4 linked regions of the Styela clava genome follow. The protein of the gene in region 1 interacts with the protein of each later gene in a biochemical or structural test. Links are inferred from orthologs where the notes say so. Each region holds a gene or a part of one and is shown in the gene's direction. Other genes may lie near its edges. The genes, in order: E3 ubiquitin-protein ligase parkin-like, Parkinson disease protein 7 homolog, ubiquitin-conjugating enzyme E2 Z-like and ubiquitin-conjugating enzyme E2 N-like.

Region 1 (7,624 bases):
TTTTGTCTGCCAAAGTCAGAATTTCTCGGACAAGCATTTTATAATGAAAAAGTAATTGATAGCTGATTTTGCCAGTTAATATAATATTTATTATATTAGTATAAAAATGCATATCATCAAATGACTTAGTAATATTAGTACAATATGCTGTTATAATTTAGAAATAAAAGTAGATTGACAAATGACAACCAATATTTTGCCAGTTAATATAATATTTATTATATCAGTAGGCCTATAAAAAATGCATATCATCAAATGACTTAGTAATATTAGTACAATATGCTGTTATAATTTAGAAATAAAAGTAGATTGACAAATGACAACCAATATCTGAATATGGTATTGTTATTTTGTTTACATTTCAGTCATACCTGCTGGCAAAAGTACGGTAATACCATATTGGGGCCTACTTTTATATCTAAATTATAAAGTGGGTGAAAATCCTACTTCTTTAATTTGCTTGCTGCGGCTCTGTGAAAATTGAAAAAATCCACCTCCTCTCCCATTTTTCACACTTCAATGCAATGACTTATTACGATACGGTATCCTTGCACAATGTAAGCTTTGAAATTACGGTATATAATATACAGATAGTCTATATATGTTAAGATACAAAAGGATAGGATAGTATTTACATATTTATCCCGGGGGAGAGGAAAGCCGATAAGACGGCTTATCCATATGGCGAACCACGGCCTCTCGTCCGGTTATCATTCCAAGTCGGGTATGGGATTAGATTTACTGTATTGTTTGTTTTCGGAAGCATGGACTTGGTGGTGGAGGAAGCCGAGCTGAGTAATATAGGCCTAGTAATTCTAAACTGTCACAAAACAGCATTACTGAAATGGTGTGATACCGGTATGGTACAAATAAAAATATTCTTTTTCACTTGTGATGTATCTATTCTGATTTCTGCATAAACATCGAAGTTGAGAGAAAAGTTGTTTCCCTGACCCTTGACCCCAAAAAAATTCTCCCAGATTTTGCTATTGCAAAATTTTGGATGCCTATTTCGCGAGTGTTTTGGAAAAGCAGGCAAAGGAATGTTGATATCGCCGTGTTAAACAATAGCAAGACACTGCATCTCACCAATTCAGGTATAAGTACAAGAATTCCTGGGTCAATCCATAACAACAGAAATCGTTTTCTTGGCACTGTTTTTCTAAAACGTTTCAACGTCAAATCTGATTAGGGTTGGTGCACCATGATATTTCATTCACATACACCCGCCCTGCGCTCGAGTTGTTGATAAATCCTTGAGTGGACTCTCATTTTTACGGGTTAGTGCAACATCAAATTGATGTTTACAACTGACAATGTATTACAATTGCGTCGCTCGATCATGTTTGGTCAACTGATTGAACAATGTCAGAAAATACGATACTGCCCTGGTGGGCAGGCACTTGAGATACTTCTCATGTTTTAAACTTTTTTATGGGTTTTGCTTGCCCTCCAGAATTCTCCATTTTCAATTTATGTTTGTTATGGAGTTTCCGAAATAAACTATCTATCTATAATGCGAAAGGCTTGTTGTCACAGTCACGACGATCATGAGAATGAGAAATGAGAATATTCTTGTCTGATAGCTGTGCCTATCCAATTTCAAGTTTTCCACGTCCTAAGATACCTCCACAAAAGGCATAATAGTTGTCTACATACCAGCTGCTGCTTGTTTAGAGCCTTGTTCAGATTTCTCAGAAAAAAAAAGGCGAGACATATAGAACGAAAATGGTTTATAAAAATGGATGGAGGAGTCGTTAATATTGTACCATCCAATGCGCCATTCCTAATGCGACGTTGCATTGTACCCATTGCGCTTTCATTGTTAATAATACACCATTCCTAATGCAATAACGCGTTCTTCTCAATGCGCTTTTCCTAATAGCAGAAAAGTACTTCAATATTCTATGAAACGTGAATTGATTTTATTACCAAATATATCAGCAATGAAATTATACGTTCCATTCTTAAAGTTTGCATGATGTCACAGCACAACCAAGTGACAAAAACTTTTTTGCTGCTTTGCTGCGGGGAAGTTGTGAAGCTCTTTATCAGAAGATGGAACCGTTCTTATACAATAGCTGTATTCAATCCAGTCTTTTCAAATTACATAGTGGATATGGGTACCTGCTTGTTCAGAGTCTTATTCAAAGGGAATGTGTGAAATACCCCATTAAAAAAGTGGTGCTCCATATATATATATATATGGTGATTTAAATAACCAAACATTTATTGAAGTTTCACAAGAAAAAAAAAATCAAAGCACAGATGCACACCATTAGTTTCACCAGAACCATTTGGTTTTACTCCAAGCCTATTCGGGACCTAGGTGAAGTCGAATCACTGACTGCTTCATTCCCATATCGATAGTGTGGTACTGAGGTAGATATCAAAATATATTAGTCATCAAGGGTGTGATAATGGATTTTTTTTCATTCATAAACATTAGGTTCAGACAAGGATACGGTAATTTGAGTTGTTGGACACGTAGTGGACATAACGATCGTTTCAATATTATGTTGGTCTTGTTGTTGTTGTTGTTCTTTGACACTTTTTGGACATCTAGTGGAAAATCTAAAAAACCGCTTTTCTCTTCCATTACTGGACCGATTGCTTCGAATTTTTTACTGGTTAAAGATGAAATTTTTCTCCAGAAGGCTATTACTTTTAGTTATTTCAAATATTTCTTTTAGCTCTGTGAGATTTGTTTTTGTTTGCTATGACGTCACCGAACGTTCTGCGGACGGTACTGTACCGTACAGTATTGCAATAATGTTGGTTTTCTTTTCTGCGGGGACGTTACCGTACCGCCTTAGCGAAAGTTGGAAGTCCTACTGTACTGCTTCGCTTGGTGTGAATATATTTGCAGACTGTGATCTGACGGTACGGTAAACCGTACTGTACTGCGAACAGACGTGTCCATATATTTGGGCGTAGCTCTCTTGTTTTTTCATAGGATCACTTCGAATTTAACATGGAAGATTTGTCAGAATATTTGTGATTTTTTTTCATATTGATTTCATTTGATCATTGTTAAGCAGCCTGAAACACAACAACAATCTACGAGCAGATGTTTCAAAGATTGCTTATAAGGGAACATGGTGAACTATTGTTCACTTTAGAGACTAATGGATTTTTTCAAATTAATTTTAGAAGGTACTGGTTTTTTGATACTTTTTATTTTAGGTGGTGCGAACATGTTGGGAGCTGACTCTGATGACCGTATGGTCGTATCGCTCCCTCCAGCCCATACCGAAGAAACGTTATTCGTAGTGCTTTATATTTATTATTATTATCAATGTATTTATGTTTTTTCTGGTTGACAAATAATGGAGCTCTCTCCCTCTATTCGAAGAAAAAAGCGAATATATAATAGTGATAATGACGAAAAACGAGAACAACAATATAATATTCAAACGATCGTTATGTCCACTAACGTGTCCAACAAGAACAACAACATAATATTGAAACGATCGTTACGTCCACTAACGTGTCCAATTACCAAAAATATGAGAACGATCCAAAGGTCCACTCAAAGTGACTATAAACGGCTGGGGGATTCCCCACGTCAACTGAAAGTAGTTTGGGGGATTTTAAAAGTGACCTAGCCACCCACGCGGTATAAGAAGTGCTGCATGGTGCGCAAAGATAAAGAAAGCCAGGTACAGTACACCAAGTAAAGTTAAGTTGACACTGTACATTTATATAATAAAGATATTTGGCTATACCGGTAGGCGGTAACGTACCGTACCGGTACCAAAGCTCACAGGGTCTCGTGTAGTTTCGTACCTAATGTACGGTACGGTACTTCTAGTAGGCGTAGCATAACAATTTTTCGACATGCCAATCCTAACCTTCACCTGACTACGCCATTCAAAAATTGCGTCACAACACGTCATATCATAGCTTGCCAAATTCTCGTACGATCGCCCGAAATGGCATCGGCGCCGACGATAAAGAACTGACTAACGTCAGCGATCTCTCTCCTATCGGGATCGTTGCGACGAGAAAACGAGAGAAATGGCTTTTCGATTTCGGGTTCTCGTCTGCGCGTCTTGGATGACAGTTTGCATAGTTTGAAGGGCTCTATTACGTCACTGCAGCACTGTGGCGCCGTAGTGATGTAATTTTTGGATGGTGTGGTCAGGTGGGGGTTAGGATTGAGCTTGCCAAATATACGTACGATCACCCGAAATGGCATTGGCGCCGACGATAAAGAACTGACTGACAGTATCGATCTCTCTCCTATTGGAATCGTTGCGACGGGAAAACGAGAGAAATAACTGTTTGATTTCGGGTGCTCGTTTGCACGTCTTGGATGCCGGATGGCAGTTCGTATAGTTTGAAGGGCTCTATTACGTCACTGTGACTTCGTGTTGATGTAATTTTTGGATGGTGTAGTCAGGTGGGGGTTAGGATTGATACATGAAAAAATTGTCATGCTACGCCCACTAGAAGTATATTAGGTACGAAACTACATGAGACCCAACCATTGGATTGGAATTTTAACGAAAATAAAGAAGGAAATCAATGCTCGGGAAATAATTTATTTTGTAAAGTTTACCAAATTATACCATACAGCCATATTAATACAGTAATAAATGGGACTGAACCTGAACAGTGAAGAATAGTCTAGATTAATATTAATTAAAATATGATTTATTGTTGGAATTTGGTTGGAGTGAAATGCAAACACCTCAACCAAATAAGAAAGAGAGGGGTTGGTTAGGTGGATATTCTACCCTGTTTCGTTAATTTAGGGTCGGTTTCGATAATTAGGAACCATATATCAGTACGGTACCGATCTTAGCTATGAAATTTTAAATGTGATCACATGACCAATTTTTACAGTGTTTTATCCTTCATTGATATTTTAATTATGTCATTTATTGTTTCTGTATCTTACAAATATGAAATATCTAGTTACCTAATAACTGCAGAACTGTATTATTAGGCTTAAGATTTATCCGAAATTTCGAGACTACCTTACCGAAACAGTGCAATGTGCACTACCAATGCATTGGATATTAGGTTCATGTTGCACAAAGACAAGACTTCTAGACTAATGAAATTGCCTTTGAATATAAAAGTGTGTGATGTCAAATCTATGCTTTGTAAAGACTCTAATATCCCTTTCGAAGAGTGTGAAATTATTTTCTGTGGAAAGGCAATGCAAAATGATAAAACACTGAATGAATATACCCTTAGTTCTCAGACGACTCTGCATGTTGTCTCTTACCCTCGTATAAAAGATGAAGAATTGATATCAAGACAACAATATTATGTGGGTCGAAATTCATATTTGACAGGAATATGGCCACATCGTCAACATACTCATTTTCCTTTCATCAAGTTACAGAATTACCTGAATGAAGAAAAATTATGTTCAAAACATCCTCAATTTTATGTTTATTGCAAGCATACTTGCTTTAAAGTTACACCTGGGAAGCTGCGTGTTCAGTGTGCCAATTGTAAAGAGGACAGTATTATTCTACAATGTGAGCCTGAGCAATGGAGTGATGTCCTTCAGGCGGGAAAAATATTTGGCCAATGCTATTCTGAGGAATGTGGAGGTGATGTTTGTGATGCAGAATTCTACTTCAAATGCTCGGTTTGTCGGAGTCCGGCACCTTCTGAAACTGCTGTATCCTTACCAAATGTTATCAGCAACATTCAAGATGTTCTCTGTCTTACCTGCCTTGATTCATGTAATCCGGTCGTGACGTTTCCTTGTAGCCCTGAACATGTTATGTGTTTGCCATGTTTTGAAGAATATTCTCGAACAAAACTTCGTGATAGACAAATGATAGTTTGTGAAAATATAGGGTATTCTGTTACCTGCCCGATGGGGTGTGAAGGTTCATTTATGTGTGATACACACCTTTTTCACATACTTGGGGCTGATGAATACCAAATGTATCAAGCTTTTTCTGCGGAAGAATGCTTAATTCGTAAAATGAAGGGAATGATTTGCCCCAATCCTAAATGTGGAACTGGCTTGTTTCCAGATATACCTGCCATCTTTGAGAACAACACAAAAATTACCTGCTCAAATTGTGGGCATATGTTTTGTTCAAATTGTCGTGAATCATATCATGGAACCTCAGACTGTGAATCCCAGTTTCCTCTGTTGGCTGGAAGTAGTGTTATGGTAAGAGACTATTTCGAAAGCATAAAAACCATCAGGGAAATTTCGAAAAACTGTCCTAATTGCAAAGTTCCAACAGAAAGAAGTGGTGGTTGTATGCATATGACTTGTAAAATGTGTTTGTATGAATGGTGTTGGAATTGCCTTACACGATGGAATTATAATTGCCAAGCAGATCACTGGTTTAACTGATTTTCTATAAGTTGAGAATATATTGTCTTACTATGCTGGGCATTAGAAACAGTTTTGCTATCGCACTGTTGGATATTATTAAAAAGAAAAACATTTGTCATAGCTTTTCTGTTCTGTATTCATGAATTGAGTTCTGTAAAAGCTTCATAGCTTTTCTGTTCTGTATTCATGAATTGAAAAATCCGATATTGTGAAGAGAAGGACAGAGATACAAAATCAACTTAGCTACTGCTCTAATTGCAGTCTAAAATCATAATCTCATTAATAGAAAATGTTACAAATAGGGTCATTTTTAAGAAAGAACACATACAAGGCAATGTCCTTTCAATGAGTTTGAATTCAGAAATAAAGATATAGCATATGATTTGATGACTTAATTTAAAACAGTTTGCAAAAAATTCAGACCGTTTTGGTAATAATGTGATTTAAGAATTGGGAATCTATTTTTTATTCCAAGCTCGTCATCCCCCCTGCCAAGATATAGAATCCTATTTTATTCCAATATTTTCATATTCATCTCATCACTGTGAAATGGCCAAGCGTTTGGTATTTGTTTAATAATAAGTTTCACTACTGCCTGTGGCATTTGTATTATATAAACTAATTTCTGGTTTTAACTAGAAATTTAAATGTGCCTTTGCTATCCTATTAATGAATATATATGAATGTTGCTAATTTAGTGATTTGAATTGTGTTCTTTCTTTGTTCGTAATATATTGCTATTTTGTCAAATCATGCAAATACTTCAATAGTCAGGTAATGGCTGCGTTGTTCCGGAATTTGTTAACCGCGCCATTTACGTGTTCTACGACAGTCCACTGTAATGTTTTAAGCATTCTGCGGCGACACACTAGTGTTTCTGGTGAGTTAAGGTTTTTTTGTTTGCAGCAATACAGTCACATAAAAGCAGCTTGGTGTATGTAGTAGTTCTTGATGCTCTGTAATGGAGGATACTTCACTTCACATGTTGAAATTTATCTCAGACTTTATTTTATGTGGTAATTATTTTATTTCACATATACAAAGCAAGTGCATAATGAATAAACTTAAAATAAATCTCATCATAACACTGTTGAACAATGAAAACTGAGCAAATCCAAGTTCTGAACTTGGCTCGAGTTACAAAATTAGTTCATTGCTCTCACCAGCACCAACCATAAAAAGTTTATCCTGTTAATAAAGACAGCTCACCTAGTTCTCTATATATCAATGGGGAATCTATTCAAATTCATGAATGTGATTTCTCTGACTCATTTTGATCTATATATTTTTATAGGAAGAAAG
Region 2 (6,441 bases), on another chromosome or scaffold:
CTATGTTCAGATGACTCTTTAACATTAAACAAGGATCCACTGGAAAGCACTGAATAGCTTTCCAGTTCGCCTAAGATTTTAACATAGTTTATTATAAACACCACACCATCACAGCACTATTTTTTTAGTTGATCAACACCCAAAAGCACCTCTTTCAACAATTTTTATCAGTAATTTAATGTTCGAATAAAGTCATCATTCAAACGACCTGTTTATTCTAATCACAATTTTCCTTTACCATTTGCAGTGTTATTCCTACAATCACTTCATTTTCTTGTTACACATAAAAACGATGTTTACTTATCTGTATGACCCCTCTTTAAAATAAACTCATTGTTGTCACTGTTATTCACAAATTTATTCATTTGAAGTTATTGCCCGATTCTATATCATGTATTTTTGTTTTATTGTGTTATTTGACTGTTTTTGGTGGACGGGCGCGTATTTTCACGTTTTTAACTTTTCTTAAGTTATGCCCGTCCTCCAGGTCCTCTGTGTTTTGTCTTTGTTCGTTTGTTATTGTTTTTTTTTATACCAGAGCGACCGAAATAAAATTGATTGATTGATTGACCGTAAATATATACTAGATAAGATAACATAAGATTTTATTTCGACTACGGACTACTACGGTTAGACCGTAAATATATACTGGTTAGACAGTTACTTGTTTCCGGAAGCTTGGACTTGATGGTGGAGGGAGCCGTAATCGACCAGCGGTTACGTGAACCACTCTACGGCGGCGAGGAGTTCAGCAATCTCTCGCACATCATCCCCGCATGGGATTCAAACCTGCGATCTCACGAAGGTTAAGCAGAGATGCTGTGGCGAGAGTATTCCTAAAGCGTAGCACGATGCGCCACACCGCCGAGCCTACTAACATCTAATTAAAAAGATTTTTATTTACGGGACGACCGTCATAGTCGGTGAGTTCCGCATGATTTTGACAAATACTACAGTATAATTGAATATATTACTAGAGATAGTGTTCAAACGTAAATAAAATTCAAGAGCCATCATATATGCAAACTACTGAATCAATTTATACGATTTTGTTATCTCTAAAGCCACTTTTGTCATATTGGATAAGTGGCAACTTTCTTTATGATTTGCCGATTGGGAGGAGGAAATTTTCGATACTTAATAATAGTTTGTGATCGTCAACAATAACTTATAATTTTCACTTGACTCTTCGAATTATATTCAGAAGTCATATTGGCTCCATCTCACATTATATTCAAACCGTGGCCCCAGTTCAGGTGCTTCATTCTTCTATGTTCAGATGACTCTTTAACATTAAACAACGATCCAAGGATGGTATTCGCGGTCACGCGTTGACTTTTTTCAGGAGCTATTTGAGTTCACGTCAGCAATGTGTTAAATTTGGTTCGAATTGCTCCAAACTCTCTAGTGTACAATGCGGAATTCCACAAGGATCGATCATTGGACCGATAATGTTTATTCTATTTGTCAATGACCTTCCTCATGCCACTAAATTACTTGTCAAACTCTTCGCTGACGATACCGGTTTGTTTGGAAGTTCAGCTTCGCCAAACGACTTGGAATTGCGGATGAATTCTGAAATGCAAAAAATTGCAACCTGGATGACCATAAATAAACTCACCATAAATATTGAAAAATCAAAATGCTTATTAATTAGTCCCAGGATAAATGAAAAAAATAAAATTCGGCTTCAAATTAATATTGACAAGGTTCCACTTGAAAATGTCAACTCATACAAATACCTAGGTATCCACATTGATGACCAATTGAAATGGACATCACACATTAATTACATTGCTGGAAAGTTGTCAAGTGCAACAGGTTTATTATTTAAACTAAGAAAATTCCTCACCATGCCAGCTCTCCGATTGGTTTATTTTTCTCTTTTCCAGTCGTATCTGCAGTATGGCATTATAACTTGGGGTAGTGCGTCATCGACTCTACTCCCCAGATTAGAAGTTTTGCAAAACAAAGCAATTAGAGCCATATGTAGTGCACCTTTCCGATCTAGACTAGATCCTTTGTACCACAGGTGTCGAATTATTAAGCTTGGTCATATCCATGAATTTGAGATACTGAAACTCATGCACCAGTACTTCGATAACAAGCTTCCCATGGCATTCGCGGGAATTTTCAGAATGCAGAGTAATATCCATTCATACTCTACTAGATCAGCTTTGTCAAGTTCATATTATGTCCCAAGATATTCATCAAGCAGGACACAGAAATCCATAAAATACACGGGTGTGAAACTGTGGAATGCCTTACCAAGTACCATTAAATCTTTAGGCTATTACGGTTTCAAATTATATCTAAAAAGTAAATATATTAGTTATTATCTCTCTTCCATCAGCCATTGATTGGAGTATTCAGTATGATTCGCCATCTTCTGTCCATAGCCCAGTAGTCGCATTTGTAGACCGTCGCCATGGCTGCCCAAAAAGCCGGAGGAACTATAGGTGTAAGGAGTCTATTTCTAAAGTACCCGGTACTTTAACTTTACCAAACTTGGTGCAACCTCTACACTAAAATGCCAAAATTCGTTATATTTTAATTTATTGAGCAAGCATATGCCTACCATTCTTTCGTAAATTTTATGCCCACTTACTGTGGAGCGTATTGTATATATATATACATATCAACGTTTTATGATTTATTAGAGCTTACCAACTCCTATTCAATTAATCTCTTACAATTTTGTCTTTGGTCTAACCATTTTCCCCTCGCTTGTCGTTTGTCTTTTATGTAACTTATATACATTTATTCAAATATGCCTTTTTTATGAATTTATAGTTGAGTTGTTTTTCTTTTTTTTTCTCTATTACATGATTTTAGTAAAGTTGCGTTTGCTGCGAATTTTTTCAATGATTCAAAATATGTTCATCACAACGACTATTGCATAGTCAATGTTTGTAGCAAATGTAGTTATTTTTTTTACACTGAACCAGTAACAGCGCTTTAGGTGTCGCTGCTTGAAGACCTAATATGGTCCCTCGCGACTCCTGTCGCACAAATATCATTATTATTATATTTATTTATTGTACCAATTTTTTTTGCATTTGATGTTTTTGTGACGACGAATAAATGATTGATTGATCCACTGGAAGGCACTGAATAGCTTTCCAGTTCGCCTAAGATTTTAATATAGTTTATTATAAACACCACACCATCACAGCACTATTTTTTTAGTTGATCAACACCCAAAAGCACCTCTTTCAACAATTTTCATCAGTCATTTAATGTTCGAACAAAGTCATCATTCAAACGACCTGTTTATTCTAATCACAATTTTCCTTTACCATTTGCAGTGTTATTCCTACAATCACTTCATTTTCTTGTTACATATAAAAACGATGTTTACTTATCTGTATGACCCCTCTTCAAAATAAACTCATTGTTGTCACTGTTATTCACAAATTTATTCATTTGAAGTTATTGCCCGATTCTGTATCGTGTATTTTTGTTTTATTGTGTTATTTGACTGTTTTTGGTGGACGGGCGCGTATTTTCACGTTTTTAACTTTTCTTCAAGTTATGCCCGTCCTCCAGGTCCTCTGTGTTTGTTCGTTTGTTATTGTTTTGTTTTATACCAGAGCGACCGAAATAAAATTGATTGATTGAAGTCTGGAATACAGAATCGGCATACCGGTAATATAAAAGTTCGACTTGAGCTCCTGACTTCGGAATAATATTTAGAAGTCAAGTCCATGCGATGTAAAAAGATAATCTTATTCTACTAATGAGCTGCCTAATTACATACTTTACATGGACTGTAGTACAAAAAACCATGGCTCACCATATGATTAAGTAATTTTATCGTATTTTCTACCCCTCCTACTGGGCGAATAAAATTCCTGTCCTAACCCAAATATGAGTACAGAGTCCCGGGTAGTGTAAAATTCGACTCCTGCTGTGGAGCTCAAACATTGCTGCATTGACTTCGTTTGGATTCATTCAATGCAATTGCACTAGTTGAGGGCTCTTTTTCTTGCTCTACGGGTTATTATTTTCACGATTATTCGCTTATTGAGTAAACGACAAAAAGAATTTATAATGAGTGGTTCTTTGAAAAGGGCACTGGTCTTGCTTGCGAATGGCGCAGAAGAGATGGAGGCCGTTATTTCCATTGATGTGATGCGTCGAGCAGAGGTTTGTGAAAATTCAGAATTGTTTTCCTTTTTTTTATACAACCTGGCTCTATTTCACTAGTTTAGAAACGCTAGGATTCAAGTGAATTATGATATACAACAAGTTTTAAGCTTTTTTATAAACTATACCGGTATTAAAGCAAAATTGAAATAATTTATAACGACAGAACTTACTGATGTAACAAACAAAAAGTTTTTTGTGACCAAATAATATTCATCAATGACATTAAAATAAATACCAATAAGCGGTATTGACAAATAATTATTCCATACACATCTATACTCTTAATTTTTTATATGCAGATTGAAGTGACTGTTGCTGGCGTTGACGCATCAGATAAAATTATGTGTAGTCGAGGGGTTTGCATAATTCCAGATGTTGATCTCCAAACAGCCATAGATGCTGCCCCGTATGATGCAGTTGTAATGCCTGGTGGTTTAAAGGGTGCGACCACACTCGCAGAGGTAGCTGGTTGCTTAAAATTGTTTTGAATTTTTAATATTCTATGTAGGGCAATCGCTTAAATACAAAAATATCGAGACAATATTGTAAAATCTTATATATTTGACTTACCTACTATAGATATTTATTAGAAAATATTGTTCGCTGACTAAATTTAGTAGATATGTCAATAATTCTTGGGTCTTGAGGTAAAGATGCTACAGTATACCACGATCACCCAAGATGTTTTAACCATCATTTGACTCATAAAATTGTTTCTGTACAGTCAGATGGCGTAAAGAAGCTCCTGGAGATGCAGATTCAACATACAAACTTAATCGGCGCAATATGTGCTGCTCCTATAGCTCTCAAATCTCATAACATAAAACCAGGGAGCAATATCACATCTCATCCATCCTTAAAGGACAAATTAGAAGGTTCGTCTTCATAAAAATACTTATAATCTGCGTCGCAATATCCACTCTTGTGTCAATTGGATTTTGTTAACGCGCACTTCTACGCTATAATTTACAGTCCCAGTAGTTTATGGCTTTTTAGTGCTTGCCCGCCCTTGACTTTGCTCAGAGATCAATATTCTATACTGAGAGAGTGCGTGCTAGATTTGTGAGGAATCATATTTTTGTATATTAGTTCATCTGTTACATAGCTTTTAAACTAACATAGTTTCTAACTGTATTTCAGGGTACATCTATTCTGAGGCAAGGGTTGTCAAGGACAACAAGCTGATCACAAGTCGTGGTCCAGGAACATCATTTGAATTTGCTTTAGAGCTAGTTGAAATGTTGAAGGGAAAGGAAGTCCGAGACAAGATTTCCGGACCGATGGTTTTGCCATAACTTGCCCACCGACTATATTTATATCATTCACTGTTAGATAACATCAAACATCATCTTTGCCCTGTTTGAGCTTGATTTATTCATTTTTGATAGTTGTCTCTAAGTTACGCAATTCAATTGCCCAAAATACGGAAGATCATTGACTGCATGGCAATTAACTGCGCTTATTGGGTTTATATTTTCATGTTGCCTTGACCAGTGATTCCCAACATGCTATGGCTCGTGGCCCCTTGCCCGTCCCGACTTTAAACACTCATGGCCCCCTTGTTTATCATTCATATCATTGGTCTTTATAGTGTAATTTTGATTGGTAGATTCCAAATCCCATTATGTTGAAACATTTCATGCACAAAGTGAAAACACCCTGTGAAATAACTTTATCAAGCAGAGTTTTCTTGTAAAGTGAAAAGTAAAATCAGTTTTGCGCCTAGCATTGTCGACCTCTGTCCACTGGTATTTTATACTATATATTTCTGTATAGTATGTATTCCTCATAATTCACTCCTTTTACATATGTGATTCTGGGATGTTTTGACAGAAATGCTTTTTTTCATTTCCAGAGCTATAGCTTTAAAATAAATCAGGTCAAGTTCAAATGGATGACTTCCTAGCTTTTTGCAACAAGACGGCTGGTCGAGACAAATTATATAGGTAATTGATTGTTTTTTCTCAAGACTGTTTTTAGGTAAATGTGCAGAAATTGGGATTTCTTGTAATTGAATACAACATGTTTTATAGAGTCACGCAATATGGCAGCAAATTTCTTGTATGGTATCTACTGAGAAATGGCAATAAGGAAAATGCAGTCAACATGCTCATAGAGCTGGAAAAATTAATGAGCACGTCCAGAAAATGTGAGTTTATATTTTAATAATTCTGGCAACAGACACAGATCTCACATTACCAAAGCTCAATTTACTGAATAAAAAAAAAATATACATTTTTTTCAGTATTTAGATTTGGGAAAAGTGTGGACAGTCTCAGAGCAGCCCAG
Region 3 (7,471 bases), on another chromosome or scaffold:
CTACAGATAATCTAATATATTTGGCCATAAAATTTGAATGGCTCATCGTAAAATCGTTTTGGATACGTATATAAAAAGCTATTCAAATTCTCCACATATATTGCCGATTGAATATGTGGCTATTTAGGCAAAAAGTCGAAATTCTTTATATTAAATATTTGTTATCATACAATAATTTCATACGCACTTTCAAATTGCTAATTTTACTGAAACATCGTATATTAGAGCACCGATATTTACAATATAATTAGTCCCAATAACAAGCTTTCATGCAATCTAAAATTTATTTAAATACTCATTGTGGTTCTTGAGATACGAGATCATAAAGTTGATTCCTTCCGACACGAAAAACAAGCCGGTAAACCGGCTTGCCGGGGCACAGAGCGTACTCAAACAAGCCGGTAAACCGGCTTGCCGGGTTCAAGCGGTTAAGTGGGTATGTTTTCTCGGCAAGATATGTCGAGGAATCGAGAATCGGAATCAAAAATTTAGGAATCGGATAAGAATCGAATACGTGTAAGTAGTCATACTTAGCATCTTTACTCTAGGCACGCCACTGGCCATGGGCCCAATAGTGCTGCGTATAGGTGTCGGGAAAGAGTTTATTTCTAATTGGCAAACTCTTTTGATTTCTGCTATAAAATCAATGCTCGTTTTACAGAGAGCAATCATATCAACAGAAACACTTAACTTAATATTCTCTATTAGTGAAATGCACAGAGCATATTAGCAGTATAAAATTATAATTTAAAATATGGCACGAAAATAAATAGGCTATCGAAGCAACACATTTAGGTAAACTAATATACAACAATTTATAGATGGCGAACTAAAAGCTAAACTATAATCATTATAGCAAGATATGGCAAATTATTCTCAAACACCAATAGGTAAATAACAGCAAAAACTATAGAAATGATTCGAGTCGATGTATACGACAGCTAATATACGCATGCAATGGGAATCTTCACTTCAGCTGATTAGCATCTACAAAAAGATAAATGAATTATTTTATTTGAAAAGAGTCATAAATTATGTCTGTAGCGCTAATTGAGTCGCGCTATTTAGCGCCATTTTTTCAATTTAAAGATTGTTCTTAATTTGGTCTACAACGTATTTTTTTTATATTTAAATTGAATATATATACTATTTATCATTTTTCATACATAGAATAGATAAAATAAAACTGTAGCTACATTAAAGAAACTAAATGTTTTGCTAATATGTTTTGTATTGAATATATTCGAACAAAAAGTGTAATTTTCAAATATAATCGAGACACACGAGGATTACAGGCGACAACTGTTGACTTATTTTAACGCATAGCCATTAAATTGGAATAGAACATTTATTAGGAGTTACACCCAAAATTTAGATTCAAATTGAATCATCAATATTTTTTGAGTAATTCCGTGAAAACCCTATTGCATGCAGTCATCTTTACTATATTCTAATTTAATGAGCAAAGTATAAGTCGAGGCTCTAACTTACTGGCGAAGGAGAAATGGCGTTTTTCTCTATGGGTAGGAGCATCAATTTTCCACTGACATCTTGGTTCTGAATCGGTGTTTACTGTCGGATTGAAGACGGTGCTGACAAAATTTTCCTGCAATTGGTTAAAATATTATATTATCTGGCATTTGGTGTTCAACACACAACAAAATATTACAAACATTTAAGTTATATAGTACTTTATACTGATAATGACTTTCAACTCAGTCTGACATGCCTAAATAAAGTTTGGGGTACGTTGAAGTCCCGTCACCACATACTGATTGCTAGCCAATGACAAATAAAAAATTATCTTTTTCGTTGAAGCTTTGCTTTGCAAATAGGACTTCAGTATCGATATTAGGGCATCCTTCCTTACTTTTGAATGTCTTCTCTCAGATCTACACCAGTCTTGTGATTTGTTAAGTTCCACTGCACACCACGATTCACGGGAATTTCCCAATTGATATAGCATTTCTTGATTCATCTTGAAGTTGAAGTGTGTTCTATTTTAAATGTAAATCAAATTGACCAGGCTTATAAAACTTTACGACCCTACACGACGCGTACCGAGTACCCCTTCGTACAAGCGTCTGTTGCTAGGCAGCACCCTGATGCGCCATCTCGAGGTGGAACTATTTTGAGCATACCCCACGTGTATGAGGTAAAATAAAATGGAGACAACGAAATAGAAGGATGCGTCGATACGCGGGGCTGATGTCGGTATACAGGTATACGCGGTAAGATATCAAGTGCGGTATTTTCTTGACTATTTTCATCGTTGTGTTAATACAGTAATGCTTAAATAATAATTTTTTGTGTGATAGGATAGGATTTTTTGGCTGCATATTTATATCGGGGGAGAGGAAAGTGATAAGATGGTTTAATCATACTGTCATAAGGCGAACCATGACCTCTCGTCAGATCACCAGCCCATGATATCATAAAGATACCCCTAACAATACTCAGGCATTTGTTATTTATGTAAACCTGATTATTGTTATTCATTTATTAAAATATGATTTTTATTTATTGCATAATCCACATTGTGGAATCATAAAAGAAAAAAAAAAAATACTCAGGCATGGTAAAAAAATCCGCGACCATGCAGTCATGTGAGTTATCTAACACAGTGGTACTGCAGTACGGTACCGTACCATACGTAATGCAGTGCTGCAGTACCGTAACATTAACACCCAATACCAGCAATACTGCAGAAATATGTATACCGGTATACATTTGGCCGGTATACATCTATAAGAATTTAGAGGATAATTCTGTAAATAAAGTTTCAAACAAATTCCACGCTTGATCAATTGGCTGAGTACCGGTATTATCGAACTTGGCCCTATTCATGCCTCTGTCAATCATTCATTTTGGTTCTCTAACATGAACAATACAAAAAGTAAACGGATAAAACAAAATGCAGAGAAACCTGGGAAACATGCATAACTCAAAATAAATTTAAAAAGCGTACGTGCCCGCCCATCAAAAAATAAAACAATCATAGAAAAACGCGATCCACAATCGGGCAGTACTTTGAAGGCGATTTAACAAAAACAGCAAATATGAAATAGATAATTGAATGTAATAAACTTCTGACAATTTCTTCCGTCTTTGGTTGATGAAAATTTGAACCACTTGTCGGTATCTAATTAGGATTTATGAGAGATCACCAGAATTAATATACAAATGAAGCCGTAGTTGATGATGCTGTAGTTTGTCTCAATACTGCAATATGGCGAACTCGCATAGGTACCAGATTTTCTTTCTTATCCCATACTTGCTGTTCTTTTTGTTGTGTTTAAAACTGATTGTTAACTCTTTGATAAAACTTGTTAGCACTTTTTTTACTACAGTACTATATTACCTTATTGTCAGCATATTAAGTTATTGCTTACACTCTGTACGTATAGCATACTGACTGGTGGTTGTGGCAGGGTATACTCAGATACGTTCATAAATTAGTGAACAAACGTCAACCTGTAAGTGGAACATGTAAGCACAGCCAGATAATTATATGATTTGAAACAAAAAATAACTACGGTACGGTACAGTAATTTAGTCCTGTAATCATTGCAATCGCTGAATTGAATCAACACAGGAACAAATACCTGAATACTGAAATAGGCTATCATATATTTTAACTTTTGCAATTGTTTAGACTAGTCGTTTATATGTAATTGTCGCTTAAAGACGAAGTAGTTCTTTTGGTCCTCTGTCTGTCTGTCAGTCTGTAGTTCATATTGTATTATTACTATCTAACTATTTCAGAACATAGCAAATATTTTGATCCACACATAGGCTATTTGAATTGTCCATTGTCCGCTATACATGATCTGACAGAACAACTTCCTAGTTTGGCCATTTGGTGTTAGTAATTTCGTTTTGAGTTGGGACAGTGTAATTCCATTTTAAGTTAGGACAGTCCTATTTTCAGTAGGGCAGTATTTTCATTAGTTCTCCGATTCCAAAATGTCCCAACATTTGGTTCAATAAAACGAACACTCTACGAGGACGTCTGTCATGACGGCAGATTTGAAAGATCCACCAAGATTGGCTTTTTAATAATTTAAATCAATAGTGACGTGCGTCTGCCGTCACTTGACCAAATTGCGTTTTTTTTTGCTAAAAACTCTCAAATACTACGATATAATTTTTTTCTTTGGTAAATTGGATTATTTTTTCCGAGAAATCTAATGGTGAAGTTTTTAGATTTTTTTTTAGATTTAGATTTTTTAGTTTTTTTGAACTGTGCAAATTTGCCGTTTGAGTCGATACAGAGGCTCAGACCGTCAAGTAAAAGAGGGGTTTGCACCGACTGTTATTTATGATGTTTTAATGTACTTGGAATCTGTCTGAAATTTGACTTTGAGGAGTTTAAAATTATGTCTCTGACTTTGACTCCAAAATTAATAAAAACACACCAAACTGTATCCGAACTTTGACTCAGCAGCTCTTGTTTTTCACTATATTTTTCAGGTGTTATTCAGTATAGTAGATATTTTTTGTGTATTATGTCATACTGGGATCCTCTGCAATCTCATGACTGGGGAAATGAAGCTCCATCTCACACCACCATAGTCCGACTGAAGAAAGATATTTTGGAAATATACAGAGCGCCTCCACCAGGCGTTGTCATCTTACCTAATCCAGATGATATAACACGATTACAGGCCATAGTAACTGGACCTTTTGACACTCCTTACGAAGGGGGATTTTTCTTATTTTACATACGCTGTCCTCCTAATTACCCATTAAAGCCCCCCAGAGTAAAATTGCTAACAACTGGTCTTGGAATGGTACGTTTCAACCCAAATTTCTACAAAAATGGCAAAGTGTGTTTGAGCATACTTGGAACTTGGTCTGGGCCTGGTTGGAGTCCCGCCCAATCTTTATCATCTGTCCTTATTTCAATACAATCTGTGATGAACGAGTCACCGTATCATAATGAACCGGGATTTGCAAGTGAACGAGTAGCTGGTGACTCGATGCGATACAATGATTGCATTAGACATGAAACAATAAGAGTTGCTGTTTGTGATATGGCGATTAACAATTCATTGGACACTGAAGTTAAAAAAGTTGTGCAGTCATCTTTTATGGAATATTATGATTATTATGTTAGCACTTGTAAGAATTTGATGAAAATGGATGGGAGAACAATGCAAGACCCATTTAATCAAAATACAGGACATTTCCGATTTGGGGAATTACTTGCCAGACTTGAGTCAATAAAACAAACACTTTCTAATAGTCCATATGTAGTTCCAATGGAAACTGATGAGCCAGGTCCGTCTCATTAACTTCAAAATTCAATTAATTTTTACTCTATATTCACCGTACTTTTAAGCTTAATAGATGGAATAGTTCCAAATCAATGTCAATGATATAATAATGTTTATTTTTGTATTGTTTATGAGTATATCTTAATATAGTATAATATATCTTTTATGTTAGTTTATTGTTACTTTTGCAATCTTCAATATGAATGCCGTGCATAAACTGACATGATTTCAGTCGCCTTTGAGTTTAGGTTTTATTTTTAAAACTCTCGCTACATTAAACTTCAATGTATGACGAACCTCTAACTCCTATTTCTATGCTTATTACAACTATCGGTACACACGTTCGGCTGATTACTTCAAAAAATAAAAATAACATCCAAAAGCCATTATTATGGAATATATCTATGCGCAGCTAAAATAAATTTGTGTAAATTTGCTAAACTTTTTTGTTTTCTCATCAATTAAAAGTATAGTCATTCGAGAGCCACAAAAATTTGGATTGCATGCCGTATCGGGCCCGCAAGCCGCAGTTTGCGGACCACTGTTCTAATGCATTGTCACTACAGACTGGCCGCCTTACAAGATGCCGTAGTTTGTCTCAATGTGGCCAACTCGCATATGTACCAGATTTTATTTCTCAACCCATACTTAATGTTCTTTTTGTTCTGTTTAAAACTGATTGCTAACTTTTTGATGAAAACTTTTTTTACCATATTATTTCATTGTCAGCATATTAAGTTCTTGCTTATTTGTAATATTATCTAACTATTAATCTTTAACTAGGGATTGATTGTGAGATTTGAGGAATTCAAAAAAAATATAAACAATATTAAAAAACGCAACTATTGTTTAGCAATGTTATCTGTCAGTCCATGTGAATGAATTTTGATTTAGCTATGAAATAATACATCAATGAAATTTGTAAACTAGTAAGGAAGAAACAACTAGCTAATCAGATCAGAGGCATGCAACATACAGCCTTTGGGCCCTGGTATAGTCTTTTGAATATTATTTTTTATTGTAACGGCACTGTCAGCATTTTTGTATTTGTGTTGTGTTAGACTTGAATTAAATTTTGTTTGTTCAAGGATTCGATAAGGTGATTTGCTTTATTGGTGTCATGTTTTGATTAAAAGGTATGGTTTGTTTCACAGTGTGCCATCATTTTAGGGTTTGACCCATTGCCAGGGCCTTTAAAAGGCATGACCTGGCCCTGGGGTCAATATTGAGGTCTGAGTTGTCAGACCAACTCAAATTATTTCATAGATCACTGGGGCACCATTGCAAATTCCGCAATGGAATTTTTAGTAGTGCCCTCTTTCGTTGGTGCCCTAAGCACATGCTTATTTTGTCTAATGGTTAATCCAGCACGGCCCATTGCGATAAACAGTTGCATGCTCCTGATTTAGATATTCTTAACTCCAGCATATAAAGTGCATATCATGAATAAACGTTGTATTTTTATATTCTGAATTCGCAGAGCTACAATAATTAGAATGATTATTCTAAGACACAATTTTTTTTTCAAATCGACTATAATGGAGTATCGTGTATTTTGACATTTGTTAATCCTTACCCAATTGTTTCAAATAAATATGCAGAAATTACTATATTGTCAAATTATACAAACGAAATAATATTTGTATGGTTAATAATAGTGGCACATATTATGTATTATTCCATATTCCACTAAAAACTGGTTAGGCTGTATCTAATAATCAAGTCCGTGCTTCCAAAAACATAACTGGCTAACTAATCCCAGACCCGACCTGGACTGGTAACCGGACGTGAGGCCGTGGTTCACCATATGATTAAGACATCTTTTCGGCTTTCCTTTCCCCCGTGATAAATATGTAAATCCCATCTTTATATGAACAAGAATATTAAGAAATGAATATCTTATCTTAATATATTTATTAGTTATTTTTTATTGTTTTTTCTTTTTCATGGAATTTCTTCACATTATGTATACGGAATATCAAATATATCTGTCTTCTGGAAAATTCTTTGACATAATTCACAGTTACAAAAAAATTACAAATCATCATTTCATGATATGAATTAATATTGCCGCATTTTTTTATAGGCAAGAGTGCTTGGAAATAAACTTTGAGCATAATGTGAATCAGCAAATTGAATTTAGATAAGTAATTCAGAATTTATATATAAAATTTAGTTAAAATTTATATTTG
Region 4 (6,985 bases), on another chromosome or scaffold:
TCTGGTCAGAATCAAAATTTCAGAATCTGATTAAAATCACATTTTTTAATTTGCTTTACTACTGGATATGGTTCAGTTCTCTTTTCACTTCATCTTGCCATGCATTCAACTTCCGCTGTCCGTTTGTTATTAAAACTTCTATCAAGCACGATTGTATTCCGAGCATGCGCGACTAAGTCGTAAAAGACATATTTTCCACGTTTAACCATTGAAATAAATTAAATGTGACAATTGCAAGGCAAATAAGCAGTGAAATAAAGTCGTATTAAAAAGCATTACCATTGAACAGTGTCTGAGTCATCCGTACCCAAGATTTCTATAGTGATGAAGAGCATGATAACCACTGTGTTACGTTAATTTTACTTTCATATTCGCCTTCTCAATTGAAAGAAAATTCGAATCTGTTCGATAAATCTTTTAACTCTAGCTTCTAATTTGAAAATATGGCTTCTGCTATCCAGGGAATTAATATCGTATCCAATCCTTACAAACCTTTTGTCTGTATATTTTTGAACGTCGTCGCTATAGCGATTCAACAAACAAGTATTCTCGCTCGTTGGACGATTTCCATAGATGAGTCAGTTTTTCTCGTATTTACCTAATCATACCTTTTCTTTAACTTCCGCTCTGATTATGCCCGAACGTGCCCAGATATTTATATCGCGCATTTTTGCAATTAAATCGTAAAAAGTCATATCCGGATTCTGTCGAATAGCGTCATTTGCACAATGAAAGTTTGTTTTATTCCGGGGGTGAGGAAAGCCGATAAGACAGCTTGAACATATGGTGAACCACGGCCTCTCGTTTGGTTACCAGTTTATATCGAGTATGGGGTTAGTTAGTCAGGTATTTTTTCCAGATGCATGGACGTGATGGTGGAGGAAATGCACGATATAACGAGCCGTGAATTATTTGTGAAAAAACAAAACAATGTACATTTTTATAACAAAATGGCAAATGGGTGTATCAAAAAAAGAAATACAAGTTATGTGTAATTAATTCGCTGGTGAATAATATAGAAAATGAATTGTCAAAAAGTTGAAAGAACTAGTAAGGGAATACGCAGGGAAGCAAGTATGACGGCCATCAAACTTAACGAAAGCATCGAAACAAATACTAAACACACAGCGGGGAAAGAAAATTTCTTTCACAAACGTAAAAAAGTTGTGGAGACTAATTACTTAAGCTGGGTGTGTAATGAAAACCATGAAAATATCGATAAATGTTCACAGGGAATGAATGAATAGTTTTCTTGGAAAAGAGCAGTAATTGTTTTCAAGGAGACAAAATGTGTTCATTAGATCACAAGTCTCAGTTATCAGATTATTGTTTTTGCTGGACGTTTTCGACAACCTATGGAAAATCTGATTCTGTTTTAGAGGTCGGAGGGTATCCATCTGTTTCTGATCCATCTGTTTCCTGGTATTTTTGAGCATTTAACTGTGTCTCTTGTAGTAGTCTACACCGACATATTTTCTTATACCTATGCCTACGATAAGAGCCTCCACCCGCATTTTAATTTAAAACCATTGTTTCCAGACGGCGTGTGTATTTCTGCAATTCTGTACCCCGCAATACAAAACCACGTTGCAACCTTATCATTTCATCACTAAAATGCTTTACCAGGCATTTTTAGTTTGGCGTCGAAACAAAAGCACGTGAATTGACTTCGGTGGGTGAATATGTGTTTTCCATTTCATTGATTTGAGTTTGTCCCACCAAGTCCAGTTTAATCACGTATTGATCAATCTTCCTTCAACTTTATACAGATATAAAAACCCAAGTAGTCAGTTTTTATGTGCCCAATCAAAGAGCTAATAACGACAATAACATTTATCAAAACGATCAATATGTACACTCTGTAGTCAATAATACAAAAATGCTACGAATTGGATAATTCCTTGAAGGTATATTTCACCCAGCCGGAGTTATACAATTTACTACCAACTCTTTGACTTCCTTTTTGTGACGGAATGGTTAACTGGCGAGAAGTGACACCTTAACCAAGGTCATCATCTTTTTTTCCCTTCTGTGGCATAACTTTAAAATCCATGTTATTTTTCGCAATCTCGGTTCATGATACGCCGAACTTCAACTAGGGTATCAATATGGACTATCTCAGAGAAATATTTACCCAATATTTCAAAGCTGAGTTTATAAAAACAAATTGCCGTATGATTAGGCTTACCATATATCTGGAACAAAAAACCGGGACAGTGCGGATCGGACTAACTTTGGTTCGATTCTGAGACTAAGTAATATCTGAAACTTCTATCATATCTTTGCAAGTAGATTCCGGGCATTGAATTATCTAAATAAATTAATTCGTACGCGCAGTCGCCAAACATTACCGTATTTATAAAAGCAGCAATTATTTGAACATTTCAATAATCGACATAAGAGAGACACGGAATGATGTTGAATTCAGTTTTAAGGTAAATGAGCCGCAAATCCTTTGCCGGTCTCGTAAAAGCTCGTTTCAGTTTTATTTTTGAGTTTGAAAAAAACATTATTGTCCCTCGTCTTTCTACGCGTCCATTTGGCACTTTGATAATTTATCGACAGGTCAGTTAACATTGTGTGTCAAATTATCGCAAAATATAATACCTATGACCAGTGGCGTAGCATCCACCCCCGCGGTCGCGGGAGGGCAAACAGCGCAAAGGGGCCCAAGCGGTTAGAATTTAGAAATATAAGCCGCAAAACCAAAAGCTGCATTGCAAAACCAGGTAATCTGTTAATGCACATCTTATAACGTTTATGTTAGTTCTGCTCAAATCGTTTTGTTACGTAACAATGCCAGGGAGTCGTCGATTTTTCGCGTCTTGTGGTTTGTTCGCACCGGCAAAATTACGAAGGCTGTCAGAATGATGTCGAGAGCAAAACCTCTCAGTGGCGCACAGAAACGCAGAAGAGGGAGCACGTATGAAAAAATTAAAGTCACCAAGATAAACGGCAAATATTAGGTTACCATTGCCTTTTAATAACAACATGCTATGCTTTTTGACGAAATAAAAAAAGCGTTTTAGCTTATGTCCGAGAGTTTTTAGGGTCATTTCCACGAGAGTCTTGCTACGCCACTGCCTATGACACAAAACAGCAGTTTTCTCTCCCTCTGTTAACTAGTGAATAAGAGATAAATTGGATGCTTCCGTCAAAAAAATAACTTGTGATAATATTATAAAAATTGTTTTTGACTGCCACGCTACATAACCGGGACATTTAAGTCTACCGGACGGGACGCCGGGAAAGCTTGTCAAAACCGGGACTGTCCCGGCTAAACCGGGACGTATGGTAAGCCTACGTATGATGTATAACGTATATATACGAAGGTGGAGAAATAACTTGAGAATCAGGGTTGTGAAGCTGGAGTTTGAGATGTATTCCACGTAGTCGGAGCGAACGTCGTGTTTTCAAACACCTTCGATGCTAGAGTGGAAATTTCGTATTCGTCGTAGTTATAATTTCAGATTTTCAATGACCTGCATGCGGTTTTTGTTACCAAATTTTCTTAAATTAAAACTCAATTTCATTTTTCTCATGGAAATCGAAGTCAGAGCAAAATTTCTTTAATCCGGAGTCGGGAATCGGGGAAAATTTGCAATCGACTCCGACAGCCAGGGCGAGGGTCTCGCGAAACAACGGTGGAAACAGGATGAACATTCTAGTATGATAGCTGCAGAGTTCCGAACTTGGACTTCCTTTACTCAATAACTTAGGTTTTTTAATATACCAGTGTTGGTTTTGCATTTTGAGCCACTTATACAAATTACTGTAATACGGTACCGGTACCTATAGCTGAACAGCTGGTGTACCAGTACGGTAGCTAGATAGACTGAAACATGATACACAACATGATAGTCAGTACCAGAGTACGGTACTGTGATATCGAGGCCTTTGTTTCGTTTTTACAAATTGTGATGGCTGTGATAATTCGTAGTACAGTACCGGTAATAGCTAAATTTTAAATTCAACTTTCAGGGTATTAAACTCTATCTAGCTCATGTAAATTAGATCTTTGTCAATTTGTGTGGTTGTTTAAACTTAAAGACTTTCTCAAATACCTGAATACTCGCTATTGGTCATCGAACATTGAGTATATTGGACACCTGGGCACATATCAACAATAATACATGGCTGCCGGTATCCCCAGAAGAATTATAAAGGTAGACTATTCAACATCTTCTTTCAGTTTCAATCAAATCTTCTTCACAGTTGTTTAGAAAAATCCTGAATGAAATAAAAAAAGATTATGCATGAAAGAATGTTTTTGACATAAATATACTGTATAGTATATTGTCTTTAATATATTCTATGGATCTTAAAGTATTATTTATCCATTTATGAACAATGTAATCATGGTTGACAAGTCTAAATAATGCTTTCTAATTAGATTGCCTTGTTATTTTTCAGGAAACACAAAGATTAGTGTCAGATTCTCCACCTGGCATATGTGCCATTCCTGTTGAATCGAATGCGCGCTATTTTAAAGTAACAGTCGTAGGTCCACAAGATGTAAGTTGTAAATAATTAGGTTATATCAATCTTTTCAACTACTTGATCTTCAGCAATTTATTTGGATAATGGTTAATTAGCATAGAGTTTTCTAACTAACAATCTGATGAAACAGTGGCACGAAAAGCTATTACTCGCGATAGTATTAAAGAAATGATGTATAAGTAGTTATTCGCCTTGTATACCTAGATTCACTTTAGCACTGGGGTACACTCGGTAGTGGGATTCAAATTTTTGTCAGCCGGTTCCATCACAAAAGTCATATTTTTCAGCCGGTTCTGTTACAAAAAGTCATAATTTTTTAGCAAGTAAACTGATTATTTTAAATTACTTCCTAATTACCATTTCAAAATTTTCAATGATGTTGAGGATTGTCGATATTGCTGATTTGCTGTATATAACCGGCTCAATCCCATCACTGCTAACAGCCACACTAAAAAGCAGCAGTCGTCTCATGACTTTTACCTATGATGCAACAATTCAATTTTCAGACAAACAATCACAAAAGGAAAATTACTACAATTATAAAAGTTAACACAATGCATAACTGTTACGTGTGCGAACTTGATCATTTCACATTTTGAAAAAAAACATGAGCTACTTGATCCAGAAAATCGGTGTGTCAGATAAGATGCAAAAACCCATTGACAGTAATCAGTAATGCTAACCGGTTCTTTGATCTCATAAAATTCTGTAAGACGGTTCTATAGAAACTGTGCGAACCGGCTGAATCCCACCACTGGGTTCACTGTGGCATATCAATTAGTTATTCCAAAATATTATTACCGTTAGATACGAATATGATTGGTTGAACCCTTATATCTGTGATATATTAAAATATAATGGAAGTTTTAAACAAAAATATGATAAGCAAAATATTAGGTTGTGGAAATCCTTGACCAGAAGTCTAATTATGAATTGATCACGGCTCACTACTAAATGAATTTAATGATCAAAAACTTTTCTGGATGGAACAAGTTTTAAAAGTTGAGGAAAACAAGAACATAGTGTAGAAAAAGTATTGTTATGCCTAATTCGACGATTTCTGCTCACCATAATTTTCTCTATAAAAATAATATGTAACTTTAGTCGTATCATTTACAATTAATCATTTATTCTTTTTATTTGTAGTCACCATATGAAGGGGGTATATTCAAATTAGAATTATTTTTACCTGAGGACTATCCTATGGCACCACCAAAAGTTCGTTTTATGACAAAAATTTATCATCCAAATATTGATAAACTTGGAAGAATATGTCTAGATATTTTAAAAGGTGATGTCTTTTTTGATTCTTAAGCTTTGAATTAACCCTGAATTATTTTTATGCTTGACATAGGAGCTTGGCTCGACGGTGTGGCACATCATGCTAAGCGTCAGGAATACTCACACCAACGCACCTCTGATTATCCTGCATGGGTTCGCAGGTTCAAATTCCAGGCAGGGAGAGTTATGTGCGAGAGGATTGCTGGACTCCTCGCCGCCGTCTGGTGGTTCGCGTAACCGCTAGTCATATACGGCTTCCTCTACCTATAAGTCCATGCTTCTAAAAAAATAAAAATAAATGGCCAACTAATCCCATACTCGACATGGACTGGTAACCGGGGCGAGAGGCTTTGTGGTTCGCCATATGATTAAGCTGTCTTATCGGCTTTCTTCTCCCCCAGGATAAATCCTACAAGTTTAGTCCCCAATGAAATTACACTGCAATGCCACTGACAATGTAAATTTTTCTGTTAATTTAAGATATCCATGCCTGGCAAGTCAGGATGTTACAATCTTGAATCAAAGTTGAAATATTATGAAAAATAAAACAGAATGTCCAAATTAACATTTTGAATCCATTTTTTAGATAAGTGGAGCCCAGCACTACAGATAAGAACGGTTTTGCTTTCAATACAAGCTTTATTAAGTGCACCTAATCCAGATGATCCTCTAGCTAATGATGTTGCAGAGGCTTGGAAACTAGATGAAAATTCGGCAATTAAAAAAGGTTTGTGTTTTTTTTAGTTATTCTTGTGCAGATATATAATTTATTTGGTGCTCCATAAGTATGTGTACCAATATGGAGGTAAAAATTTTGTTTGCCTACTTGTGTAAAGAGACTGAAGCCTATGGGCAGGGGGTATATAGTCTCCGAACTCGTAATTGAACTAAAAATAGGGAAATTCGAAATAAAATTATAGCCTAACCCGGTACACATACTACAGGGGTACCCTTTATTTTGTATATACATGTCATTTTTCACTTTTGGGCCACAGATACCTTCCAAGAAACATTTTTAAGTGGGCCACAAATCCATTAAAAGTTATTGATAGTTCAGTTAAACTTTGATTGTAGTAGCAATGAATGATGATGCTGTTTTTCAATTATTAAAGTGGAAATGTTTATATTCACGGAAAGCATTCTTTGTAGTTTTTCCATATACGGTACATGAGTTAGTTGATGGGCCATAGAACTTTTACGCAAT

What was found.
Region 2: the proteins of E3 ubiquitin-protein ligase parkin-like (region 1) and Parkinson disease protein 7 homolog form a complex in vitro, tested with the Homo sapiens proteins (2 studies listed by BioGRID, with this or other methods). The link is inferred for Styela clava from reciprocal best matches to the Homo sapiens genes PRKN and PARK7.
Region 3: the proteins of E3 ubiquitin-protein ligase parkin-like (region 1) and ubiquitin-conjugating enzyme E2 Z-like form a complex in vitro, tested with the Homo sapiens proteins (2 studies listed by BioGRID). The link is inferred for Styela clava from reciprocal best matches to the Homo sapiens genes PRKN and UBE2Z.
Region 4: the proteins of E3 ubiquitin-protein ligase parkin-like (region 1) and ubiquitin-conjugating enzyme E2 N-like form a complex in vitro, tested with the Homo sapiens proteins (6 studies listed by BioGRID). The link is inferred for Styela clava from reciprocal best matches to the Homo sapiens genes PRKN and UBE2N.

Annotation. Positions count from the first base shown.
Region 1 is NC_135263.1:16,303,555-16,311,178, reverse strand, and holds E3 ubiquitin-protein ligase parkin-like, read left to right. Parts: upstream 1-4,599; 5' UTR 4,600-5,002; coding exon 5,003-6,340; 3' UTR 6,341-7,099; coding exon of another isoform or gene 7,100-7,202; 3' UTR 7,203-7,203; downstream 7,204-7,624. Other genes in the region: 40-kDa huntingtin-associated protein-like, read right to left, coding at 448-506; ATP synthase mitochondrial F1 complex assembly factor 2-like, read left to right, coding at 7,100-7,202, 7,617-7,624. UniProt on the Homo sapiens protein: Functions within a multiprotein E3 ubiquitin ligase complex, catalyzing the covalent attachment of ubiquitin moieties onto substrate proteins. Substrates include SYT11 and VDAC1.
Region 2 is NC_135257.1:17,241,644-17,248,084, reverse strand, and holds Parkinson disease protein 7 homolog, read left to right. Parts: upstream 1-3,939; 5' UTR 3,940-4,053; coding exon 4,054-4,149; intron 4,150-4,451; coding exon 4,452-4,613; intron 4,614-4,876; coding exon 4,877-5,027; intron 5,028-5,292; coding exon 5,293-5,447; 3' UTR 5,448-5,935; downstream 5,936-6,441. Other genes in the region: peroxisomal membrane protein 11A-like, read left to right, coding at 6,043-6,098, 6,186-6,301, 6,398-6,441. UniProt on the Homo sapiens protein: Multifunctional protein with controversial molecular function which plays an important role in cell protection against oxidative stress and cell death acting as oxidative stress sensor and redox-sensitive chaperone and protease.
Region 3 is NC_135255.1:6,259,362-6,266,832, reverse strand, and holds the start of ubiquitin-conjugating enzyme E2 Z-like, read left to right. Parts: upstream 1-4,455; 5' UTR 4,456-4,508; coding exon 4,509-5,297; 3' UTR 5,298-7,471. Other genes in the region: protein SPATA45 homolog, read right to left, coding at 968-987, 1,492-1,606, 1,871-1,978. UniProt on the Homo sapiens protein: Catalyzes the covalent attachment of ubiquitin to other proteins. Specific substrate for UBA6, not charged with ubiquitin by UBE1. May be involved in apoptosis regulation.
Region 4 is NC_135258.1:13,557,110-13,564,094, forward strand, and holds the start of ubiquitin-conjugating enzyme E2 N-like, read left to right. Parts: upstream 1-3,958; 5' UTR 3,959-4,133; coding exon 4,134-4,166; intron 4,167-4,413; coding exon 4,414-4,515; intron 4,516-5,646; coding exon 5,647-5,791; intron 5,792-6,367; coding exon 6,368-6,508; intron 6,509-6,985. UniProt on the Homo sapiens protein: The UBE2V1-UBE2N and UBE2V2-UBE2N heterodimers catalyze the synthesis of non-canonical 'Lys-63'-linked polyubiquitin chains. This type of polyubiquitination does not lead to protein degradation by the proteasome.